Callithrix jacchus: one gene and its partners. The protein of the gene in region 1 interacts with the protein of each later gene in a pairwise test. Links are inferred from orthologs where the notes say so. Each region holds a gene or a part of one and is shown in the gene's direction. Other genes may lie near its edges.

Region 1 (3,841 bases):
GAATTTCCCTGGTGGAGTGGGAAGCTAAAGAGACCAAAGAGTCCTGTTGGAGGGACTGGCGTGGGAATGGCCCTGTCAAAAGTGTCACATGCATGCCAACCCAACCAGAGAAAGCACAGAAAACCCTTCAACACCAACCTGCTTGAGGAAAATTAAAGTGACAAATGAGAAAAGATAGATACTCATAGTGAGGACTCTAGACATGTCAAGACAATTTTAAAACATGCTTTGGGCTTCAAGTGGCAATAACTAGACTCGAGACAACATATTTAAGAAGCTGCTGATGAGAGGGAACCCGGCAAGGGCTGAAGGACCACATCAACGCAGACCAAGGATGCTGAAGCAGCATGGAGGCCCCTGGTTGTGGAGGCTCCAGCAATGCCCCTTTTTCCACGGACAGCCTCTAGGAGTGACAGCTTTGCCTTGGCCCACTGGGAATCTGTTTTCTATAACTGGAAAACAGGGCTATCCATATGTTGCCCCCGCTACCTTTTGGTCATCTGAGACACCGCCAGATATTGCCCATGGGACCTATATCTTTTTGGAGATCTCAGGAAGGAATGATTTGGGTGTGACTCCCAACACTGAGGACTCAGTAGCTTCAGAGAAGGTCCTGGGAGAAGGTGAATCGGAGAATGAGGTGCTGGGCAGAGGGAAAAATGCATTATCATACAAGTTTGTGCTAATAGATATGGCAATCCTTCTGTTATGGACTAAGCATGGAAAAATAAAAGAAAATGGAATCAAAGTGACTCAAAGTAAGTGTAAAAGCCAAACCTATGCCCATGAAAGCATCAATGATGGTCTAAGCCCACTGCCTCCTGAACAAGTTCACGGCTCACGCGGGTAGGAAATCACGTTAACGACACGCTGCATTTCTCCTTTCCTTATAACCGCATTTCTCCTTTCCTTATAACCCCTCTGATGTGGTAGGGAGGGAGTCAATCAACTTTTTATTGGAATTTCTCAGGATTCCAACCTCGGACATCCGCCTCACAGTTTACACGTCTTCTCGGACAGCCCGACCGTTCCTCTCACTCGTTCACATAAAGCTCCAGTTTGCACAGCCTCCCAGACCTTCCTCTGGGGCTCTCATACTTAACTGGATTCTGGATATACCCAGGCGAGCATTTCCCAGGAAAGTCGACCCCAGCATCCCCAAAACCTGAGTTATCATCTTTCCCCAAAACCTGCTCCTTCTCCACAGGCATCCATCTCCCTCCTCTCCTACCCTGAACTTCCTCGGCCGGAACAGGAAACCCCGGGATCGCTGTCCCGCCAGGTGACGCCTCACCGCGGACCCTCCCCGTCGGGGCCCCTCGCGGCCCCGCCCGCCCCCGGCCGCCCGCCCGCCCTGGCCGCGGTCGCGCAGGCGCAGTGCCGCGTCCCGCCGCCGCCCCGCCCTGCCCGCCGCTGCGGAAGGCGCCGCGCGCAGCAACGCGCACTTCCTCTCCAGGAGTCCGCGGAGGGAGCGCAGGCTCGAAGAGCTCCTGGACGCAGAGGCCCTGCCCTTGCCAGACGGCGCAGACATGTCAGAGCAGAGTAAGGATCTGAGCGACCCTAGCTTTGCCGCCGAGGCACCCAGCTCCGAGGCGCAGAGCAGCCCTGGGGTTCCGGGGGGGGTTCCTCCGTCCGCGACCCTGGCGGAGCCGCAGAGCCCTCCCCTAGGCCCGACGGCCGCCCCGCAGGCCGCGCAGCCGCCCCAGGCCCCGATCGAGGAGGTCGACCCGAAGGCTTTGCTGGAGGCCGCAGAGGAGGGCCGCGCCCACCAGGCCCCGAGCGCGGCCCAGCCCGGCCCGGCGCCGCCCGCCCCGGCGCAGCTGGTGCAGAAGGCGCACGAGCTCATGTGGTACGTGCTGGTCAAGGACCAGAAGAAGATGATCATCTGGTTTCCAGACATGGTGAAAGATGTCATCGGCAGCTACAAGAAGTGGTGCAGGAGCATCCTGCGGCGCACCAGCCTCATCCTCGCCCGGGTGTTCGGGCTGCACCTGAGGCTGACCAGCCTGCACACCATGGAGTTTGCGCTGGTCAAAGCGCTGGAGCCGGAGGAGCTGGACAGGGTGGCGCTGAGCAACCGCATGCCCATGACGGGCCTCCTGCTCATGATCCTGAGCCTCATCTACGTGAAGGGCCGCGGCGCCAGAGAGAGCGCCGTCTGGAACGTGCTGCGCATCCTGGGGCTGCGGCCCTGGAAGAAGCACTCCACCTTCGGGGACGTGCGAAAGCTCATCACCGAGGAGTTCGTCCAACAGAATTACCTGAAGTACCAGCGCGTCCCGTACGTGGAGCCGCCAGAGTATGAGTTCTTCTGGGGCTCCCGGGCCAGCCGTGAAATCACCAAGATGCAAATCATGGAGTTCCTGGCCAGGGTCTTTAAGAAAGACCCCCAGGCCTGGCCCTCCCGATACAGAGAAGCCCTGGAGGAGGCCAGAGCTCTGCGGGAGGCTAATCCCGCTGCTCACTGCCCCCGCAACAGTGTCTCCGAGGACTAGCAAGGTCTGGAGGCAGATGAAATGCTTTCTGACCCTCACCGGGGCTGTGGAAGGGTGGGGGTGGGTCATTAGAGTGTTCGGGATTTACAGTGCAGTATTCACGTGTAACTTTTAAGTTTTCAGTACAGTGCTTTTATACCTTTAATGCAATGTTGTATTCATTTGGGTACTCTTGTGTAGTATTTAGGATGTATGCATGTTTGTTTATATGTAAGCTTGGTTGGTGCTTTCGCTTTTGTGCTACCTTTCTTGGATTTTTGTACCTGAGACATGCTAAACTGACGAAGTACCTTGAGAAAGTTTGCATCTTATTATTTTATATGGGACTGGTGATGTGTGTTGGGGTAGACTGCTCCTGCAGAGTTTGGAAGAACTCACCAGCAAAGCTGGCCTAACCAAGAGAAAAGTCAAGGCTCTTCGTGACCTTGCTGGGCACAGAAGACATTCTCGTGGAGTAAACTGATTTGAACTGGACTGGTCTCAATGTGAGCACTTGGCACAATTTACTAAACACATATACAACCCTACCGTGAGTCAACTTTAAAGTAAACATTAAAGATTCTTGTGATACAATCATTTTTGGAAAAGTGTACTCTTATCATTTTAACAGAGCACTATGATTGGGAATGAGACAATTCTCTATTTTACAATGTGTACAGATGTAACTGTTTCCCCTAATAGGGTGGGAAAAATCGCTACTCGTGATTACTCCTAAATTTGTGAAGGTTATAGTTTTATTGTCTTTAAATGTAATTGTTTATTTCAAAAACATGCACAAATATAAAGTATAAAAACAAAGCAGTATGATTGTCCATCATCACATCATATGAGAATAAAAACTAAAAATAACTTCCTTCCCTTAAGTTTCTATATTTTATCAAAATTAATGGATGTCTTGTGGGCACTTAAAGAGTGAGACATTGTACTCAGCCCTAACATGTATTTTTCCCCTTTTATTTAACCCTCACAACAGGCCTGTGAGGAAGGCATCTACTGCCTTTGCACCATGGAGGAAACAGGAATAATGTAGGTAATTAACTTTCCATAGCTTGTAAAGGTTAGCAAGAGAAGGAGCTGGCACTTCAACTCAGAATGAATCCAGAGCCCACATTTGTCCCCACCTGCCTACAATCCCTCATACACCCTGTGGCTTTTAGGTTATTTATTTTCAAACTTATTTTTACATTTTACGTGGGAGCCCACACTCCCAGCTCCCACCTCCCACACTCACATGCATTCATGGGCCACACAGAGAGAGAGGCTAGGAATTTTATTTTTCTAGTTCTCACAATATTTTGGAGAAAGCAAGATTATTCTGATTGTGTAAATTAAGAAATTTTCATCTT
Region 2 (3,614 bases), on another chromosome or scaffold:
CACCCTCACAGACACACCAAGGATCAATACCTAGTATCCTTCAATCCAATCAAGTTGAATTTCAGTATTAACCATCACACTTCCCATTCACAAAAGACAGAATGGATCTGTGACCCTTTTGCGAATAATCCAGGTGAATCCACTTTGTCATGCTAGAAGAGGATCAACTGCTTGATATTGAAAATGACAGAGGCCTTAAAAGTATGTTTGAGACTTCAAATCTCTATACGTTCGATTTTTTTTTTTTCTTTTTGGTATCAGGATGACGCTGGCCTCATTCTATATGTTCTCATTTAAGTCAAGGAGGAATATCCTGAGATTGCCACAAAATTACTGAAAAGCCTGCTTCCATTTCCAACATTCTATCTTTGTGAGGCAGGGTTTTCTGCAGTAGCAGCAACCAAAACGAGATTACAGAATAGACTGGACATAAGCAACACACCTCGGGTGTCACTGTGTCTCATCACTCTCAGATGGGACTGTCCAGTTGCAGGAAAAGAAGCTCAGGGCTCGCACTGATTCTACATTATGGGGAGTTGTATAATTATTTCATTATATACTCCAATGTAATAATAATAGAAATAAAGAGAATAAACGAAATGTGCTTGAATCATGTTAGTATACATAGTCCTATAATTCATAGAGGTATACACAAAAGATTCAGCTTTTAAGTTGAAGATAGGTAAGACATGTTTTTAAAAAACACACAAAATAGTATTTTTTTCTATGAATACATAAAGATACATGTAAACGCAAATAAAAAGAATTTAAAGAATACACACCGCATTGATAATAGCGGAAAGATACCTTTCAGGAGAAAAGAAATGGAACCAAATATTTCTTCAGGCTAACTTAAAAAAAAAGTACAACGTTTCTGTTGTTTGTGAATACAACTATTGTAATGACAACACTAAAACGGCAGAATGAATTAGTTCTTAATATGCTGATCTGTGGTTATGGATGTTGTCTGATTTGGAGATGTAGATTTAGAAGTCATCAGCACATAGATAAACTGCCCAAAGGAGGAGGAAGAAAGGAGGGGAGAAGCATCAGGTGTTAAAAAAGCCACGTTAGGTTATTTAACAGTTTGCAGCATCACGAGCAGCAGGATGGTTAAGTAACACAGAAACTGTAATGCTTTTGCAAGCAGGATCCCTAGTTACGAAGCTCTAATAGGTGGAAACCCAGCTCAAAAGCGACGCTAACACCCGGGGAAAAACATTGACTGCCTCCAATCGCAGTGGAGCGCCAAGTAGGAGGCGGTACCTGACGACTACGCCTGCGCGAGTGGTTACGCAAGCTCACAGACTTTGCGCACGCGCACAGGCGCACGACCGCGCAGTTTCTATCTTGCTGAAAGCTTTTTCCGAGAGGTTGAGCGGTTTGCACAATGTCGGAAATGGCCGAGCTGTCTGAGCTGTATGAGGAGAACAGTGACCTGCAGATGGATGTGATGCCTGGCGAGGGTGACCTTCCGCAGATGGAGGTAGGCAGCGGGAGCCGGGAGCTATCCTTGCGTCCCTCCCGCAACCGGGCCCCGCCACAGCTAGAGGAGGAAGGCCCAATGGAGGAGGAGGCGGCCCAGCCAATGGCGGCGCCAGAGGGGAAGCGGAGCCTTGCTAACGGGCCCAACGCTGGGGAGCAGCCAGGCCAGGTGGCGGGCGCAGACTTCGAGAGCGAAGACGAGGGCGAGGAATTTGATGACTGGGAGGACGACTACGACTATCCGGAAGAGGAGCAGCTTAGTGGTGCCGGCTACCGAGTATCAGCAGCTCTCGAAGAAGCCAACAAGATGTTTCTGAGAACAACCAGAGCAAGAGAAGCAGCCCTGGATGGCGGGTTTCAGATGCATTATGAGAAGACCCCGTTTGATCAGTTAGCTTTCATCGAAGAGCTTTTTTCACTGATGGTTGTCAATCGTCTGACCGAAGAACTCGGCTGTGATGAGATTATTGATAGAGAGTAGTTACATGCTGTTAAAAGAGGAGGAAACTACTTGAGGAGGGACCCAACTTTCCGGTATCTTTTGGGTTCATTCCAAATAGTTCTGTGCCATTGAAAAACTTGACCTTCAAAAAAATGTGTTTTTCAGAATAGAAGACAATAGGATAGTGACTGTACAGTTGTGAAAAAAGAAGAGAATCATTAAAGAAAAAATGATGTTTAGACTGTTGAAGTCTGTTCTCAAGAATGTCCTAAAACACCAATGGCTTTGACTTTGTTATTGATCCAGATTATTTTCCTTGCATTGGGGAAAATATCTTTCATATTTGTTTTGCTGTAAAGATGGTTTTGCAAGAATAAGTCATGACCAAGACAAACCAAGACAAGAGCCCACTGATACTGATTATATGAGAAAAAAATGTATCCAACTAGGACACATATCTTTTGAGTTATTTGGACTGAAAGCTTAAGAAAACTTGGAAAATTCTATTTTGTGATCTGTTCAAGCCATAGTTATCAAAGGCTAAATTTTCAGTGTAAGATAAATGGAGTAGTCTTCATTATCCCAAAAGGATGAGCAAACTCAAATATATATCACGTGCTATATGTCTTAAGATGTGTTTCCAAAAGCATTTGAAATTTTGTTTGTACACGTATCTTGATCATTTATAAAGCCACTGTGATCTATAAATCAAGAAAATCCATTGTCAAGACCATTTTTAAAAGTCAAAAATTAAGACATCCTTAATTTAAAAGTTTCAAATCTAGACATTGTGTGTGAATGTACAAAGAAAAACCATTTCTAACGCTGTTATATACTAGAGAAATTTTGTTTTGCTTGCTGTTTTGACTTGACGGGTGAAAGACTTTAGTTGAACTTCATATTGTAAGAACTGTTAATAAAAGTTGTCAAGTAAAAAGCCCTATATCTAAAAAGACTTTATGAACAGTTATTCTATCAACTCTTAAAGGTTTTAAACCTGCCCAAAAATTACCTTGTAATCTGAAGTTTCCCTCCCTCTGTCTCCTCCTCTTAAGCTTGTTATTTGTTATGCACCAGCATTGGAGATAATAAAATTTCTTGTTCTGTGTATTTTGTTTGGTTGATCGTATTGCATACATACTTTCTCTGTATACTACTTTTTATTGTATGTATTATTGCAACCACTTGATTTAAACTTAATTAGTATTAAGGGAAAATGATCCAGCTTAAGATATCTAATTCACAAATTTGTTTCTGGAAATTAAATTTTGTAAATTAAGTTTTTACCTATAAGAATTTGCTGGTCTAGGAAAACCTGCCCTGTCAATGAGTATGTTGCTGTGGTTATCTTACTAAGATGCTGAAGTTTTAGGAGTGTAATTACATCAGAAGGCTATGCTCAGCAAAATGAGTTTATCAGCAGGTTTTATGATCAGTAAAAAGATTCCAGATGCTTCTGCTCCATTGTAGCAGTAAAGAACATATATCCAATGCAACAGGACCACTCAGAGCCTAATTTATTTTACGGTCATCTGTCTTTTGGGGAGAGGGATCTGTAAAAGATAGGAGTGTGACAAGGATGATCAAAATTGCTCAGACATTAGCTGAGTTGGGAGGGAGAGATGGTGGAAGTAAAATGTTGGTGCTTAAATTTCTTAATCCTACGATCTCTTCCACTGCTTTCTCA
Region 3 (4,100 bases), on another chromosome or scaffold:
CGCTCCTGGTGGGCCTTGTAGTCTGTTAGACCCTCTCTCCCAGGCTTCAATGCTAAAACTACATTTTCTATTTCTTTCCAGAGTACATACTATGTGTCAGGCACAATTACTCTACATGTCACTAGGAATACTAGATCATTAAGACACAGTCACCATTGCTAAGAAACCCACATTTAACTGGGTACACAAAAATTGTTTAATTCTTAACAACCATTTGATGGTAGATGTAAGTATTTGACTCCAAGTCCCATGCTCTTTTTACATTCCAACAATTGTCTCTTGGATCTTTTCATCACATAGAGCAGAGAGAAAAATAAGCAAAAATTAATAGCTGACTCTTTCTCAGCACCTACTGTGTGCCAGGCACAGTTTTTGTGGCCTACAGTTTTATCTTATTGAATCCTTAGCCATTTTGCAGAAGAGAAAACTCACTTACGTGTTTTCTTAGACTTGCCCAAGGTCCACAGCTGCTAAATTGCAGAGTCAAGTTTGGAACTCCAGAGCCTGTGTATAGTTAAATGTCTACACAGAGCCCAGGGATAGTGAGGGCTTCCCAGGGAGGGCCCAGGAGTATTCTGCTCACTATATCTCCTTGGCCTAGCACAGGTGAGGGGCACTCAGTATATTTTAATTAAATCAGTGAATAAATGAATGAATTTACAAACCTGCTGGAAATGAGAATGGAAACGTCTCCTGGAGAGAATACTTGGGAACTCTAGAGTTTGCCCATTATTCCTTCATTCCCTCTTAAACTCCTGCATAAAGGACACTGCCCTGTGCCCAAGACGGTGCTTATGAGACAGAGCCAAAGATACAAGAGACACAGTTTTGATCTTCATTATACCCAATTGAATGCTGTGTCCCAGGCACCCTATCATCTCACAGTATGTACCACAACTACCCTATGGGCTAATCCTACATCTCTATTTTACAGATTTACAATCTCAGAGTGGCAAAGTCTCCTTAGGCCAAGATGGCTCAGCGGATTCCACACCAGTCATCACAGGCTGAGCGTCGCAGTGCGAAGCAGGCGCAGCAGGGAGGCCCACTTCACGGGGAAACCACGCCCCAGCCATCATTTTGGTCCTTGCAAATCCACCCCTCCTTTCTAAGATCCCAGCCCGCCATTCTACAGGCAAATCTGCCGCAGCGTTCCATCCTGCCCTTGCAGCCAGCGCGACATCCGCTGTCGACAACGTCATTTCCGGCGCGCCGACTCCGGCGCATCCGGGGTCTGGCGTAGGAGAGACTGCCTTCTTCCGTGGACTGTGAAGTTGAGTTTGGTACGCTGGAGCCTCGGAGAGGTGAGTAGGGCTTGCCACGAGGGGACTCAGGGGCAGTGGGAGTAGGGCTCCGGCTCAGGGAAGGCGAGCCTCGGCCCAAGCCGATGTAGGGGTGGGGAGGGGATTCCATTTCGCAGACAGCTCTGTCGAGGCACGGAGAAGGGCGGTGCTGGTTGGGGTCAGTCAAGAACCTGAGCCTCCTTCGCCAAACCTAGACAGCAAGAGAGAGACAAGCCCGAGGCCTGGCTTCTAGCGCTCCTGAGTTTGAGCCCTATAAGCAGTGGAACCTAGGGTAAGTTACTAACTTCTCTGAACCTCCCTTTTCTTACCTGAAGCATGAAAATTAATGGTAACTGCCTTGTAAAAGTGTCTTGATGCACACAGTTGATAATAGGGCTCAAGCGACCATCATGTACCTAGCTTCTACTGATGAGGACTTCATAATTTGTGGCTACTCAGGGCTTATCACCACTCCCTGTGTCCACGGAGACATTGGTATTATTTAACCTTATATATCTGAGATTCCCCACCTCTTCTGAGACCCTTTCCTTTGTATACATTCCTGGAAGAGGTTGGGACCAGCTGCACCCAACCAGGGCACCAGTGACTAGAAGGCAAGGATAACGTTTTGCCAGAGTTGACCAGAGTTTGACACTGGCCTGTGGAAGTAGGGAATTCCTTATGCCTTAAGGCCGCTTTCAGGAAGACCAGAATCACAATTGCTGTCACCTATTGAATGTATTATTGTGTAGTGCACCAGGCTTGGCACTTCGTGTGCATTTAATACTCATACACTGAGTATCTGGTAGAGTTGAATTTGAAGTTAGGCTTTGATTTTAGCATGCCTGATTTTGCAATCACTTTAAGTTTACTCCCTAGTCCAATAATAGTAATGATTGTGATGTTTGATACTGTCAAGTTGATTGGATTGAAGGATATGAAGTATTGATCCTGGGGTGTGTCTGTGGGGGTGTAGCCAAAGGAGATTAACATTTGAGTCAGTAGTTTGGGAAAAGCAGACCCACGCTTAATCGTGCGGGCATAATCTAATCAGCTGCTAGCACAGCTAGAATATAAGCAGGCAGAAAAATGTAAAGAGGCCTAGCCTCCCAGCCTTCATCTTTCTCCGGTGCTGGATGGTTCCTGCCCTGGAACATCAGACTTCCAGTTCTTCAGTTTTGGAACTCCGGCTGGCTCTCCTTGCTCCTCAGCCAACAGACAGCCTTTTGTAGGACCTTGATGGTGTGAGTTTATCCTTAATACACTCCCATATATATATATTATATATATATGGGAGTTTATGGAGTTTATATATGGAATATATATATGGGAATTAAGAGGGACAGAACTAATGGAATATATATAACTATATATATGGAACAGAATATATAATATTCCATATACATATTCCTATATATATATACATATATATTCCATTAGTTCACTCCCTCTAGAGAACCCTGACTAATACAATGATTAACCTAATCATGGGACTACAGTAGAAGCTATGGTTTCTTGAGCACTTATTTTGAACTCATTGAATTCACCTTATAAGCATTCTCTAAGGTGGGTATAGTAGTTTATCCCAATTTAAGAAAGACAACTGAATCTCATCCCCCAGCTACCATGAGGTAGATTCTTTATTTCAATCCCTGGATATCTGACTATTAAAATAGTGTTCATAATTACTACAGTTTTTTAGCTCATCAGAAGAAATACATGTCTTGCAATGAAAACTAAAAATTATGTTTCATCAAGTAGTGTATTTTAAAAAGCATATTCTAAAAAAGTCACTCTCCTGGACCACCAAGGATCCAGATATAATTCTTACCTCAGTAATAGAAAAAGTAAAGGAATCTGGGATCTAAGAAGATATCCACTCATTTTCTAAAGCAATACTGTATAAAATAACCTACTTAGATATTTTTGTGTGGTTTATGTATGTGTGAATGTGTGTGATATTTGTGATATTGACTAGGACAAGGAAATACATACTTTTAAAGAAACATAGACTGTTGGGACTGGTATTTTTTTCCCGTTTTAGTACTGATTGTTTTCTAAAAATATGTTTTTAATATCTACTTTATTGAACAGTAATGCCAATTTTAATGGACTTTAAATTTGGAGAAAGTTCTGAAGGCAGCAAGGAATAGAGGAATCCTCCTGCTGCTGCCCCCAGGACTTATTATGGACTGTGCCCTTTTTATCTCTTCCTTTAGTGACTGGCCATGTCACTGTCCCACTTGTACCGGGATGGGGAAGACCGCATTGATGATGATGATGATGAACGGGAGAACTTTGAGATCACTGATTGGGATCTCCAGAATGAGTTCAACCCCAACCGACAGCGCCACTGGCAGACCAAGGAAGAAGCCACCTATGGGGTGTGGGCAGAGCGAGACTCAGATGAGGAGAGGCCCAGCTTTGGAGGCAAACGGTATTGCCTGGCATGGGGGCTGCTTCACCTTGCTTTAGGGAAGAGGAGAAAGATGGACAGGGAGTGGAGGGGATCCCCTGATAAGTATACTTCTCACCTGGCCTTATTGAGACTGTTAGTTGTGACATCACCTCAAGAGGTCCAGTTTCCTCTTTAGGCTAGAGTGCTGTTCTTTTACCAAATTATTTTATTTTATTTGTTTTTTTTTGAGATGCAGTTTTACTCTGTCACTCGAGCTGGAGTGCAGTGACGTGATCTTGGCTCGCTGCAACCTCTGCCTCCGGAGTTCAAGTGATTCTTGCACCTCAGCCTCTGGAGTAGCTGGGATTACAGGCACACGCCACCACCTCCAGCTAATTTTTGTATTATTAATAGAGACG

Evidence for each region.
Region 2: the proteins of NDN (region 1) and EID1 interact in binary tests that used the Homo sapiens proteins (3 or more experiments, as listed by UniProt). The link is inferred for Callithrix jacchus from reciprocal best matches to the Homo sapiens genes NDN and EID1.
Region 3: the proteins of NDN (region 1) and TFIP11 interact in a two-hybrid assay, tested with the Homo sapiens proteins (2 studies listed by BioGRID and IntAct). The link is inferred for Callithrix jacchus from reciprocal best matches to the Homo sapiens genes NDN and TFIP11.

The regions. Positions count from the first base shown.
Region 1 is NC_133507.1:5,529,713-5,533,553, forward strand, and holds NDN (necdin), read left to right. Parts: upstream 1-1,441; 5' UTR 1,442-1,529; coding exon 1,530-2,495; 3' UTR 2,496-3,341; downstream 3,342-3,841. UniProt on the Homo sapiens protein: Growth suppressor that facilitates the entry of the cell into cell cycle arrest.
Region 2 is NC_133509.1:36,624,972-36,628,585, forward strand, and holds EID1 (EP300-interacting inhibitor of differentiation 1), read left to right. Parts: upstream 1-1,305; 5' UTR 1,306-1,390; coding exon 1,391-1,966; 3' UTR 1,967-3,037; downstream 3,038-3,614. UniProt on the Homo sapiens protein: Interacts with RB1 and EP300 and acts as a repressor of MYOD1 transactivation. Inhibits EP300 and CBP histone acetyltransferase activity.
Region 3 is NC_133502.1:197,239,431-197,243,530, reverse strand, and holds the start of TFIP11 (tuftelin-interacting protein 11), read left to right. Parts: upstream 1-1,223; 5' UTR 1,224-1,304; intron 1,305-1,393; exon of another isoform or gene 1,394-1,420; 5' UTR 1,421-1,575; intron 1,576-3,502; 5' UTR 3,503-3,511; coding exon 3,512-3,720; intron 3,721-4,100. UniProt on the Homo sapiens protein: Involved in pre-mRNA splicing, specifically in spliceosome disassembly during late-stage splicing events. Intron turnover seems to proceed through reactions in two lariat-intron associated complexes termed Intron Large (IL) and Intron Small (IS).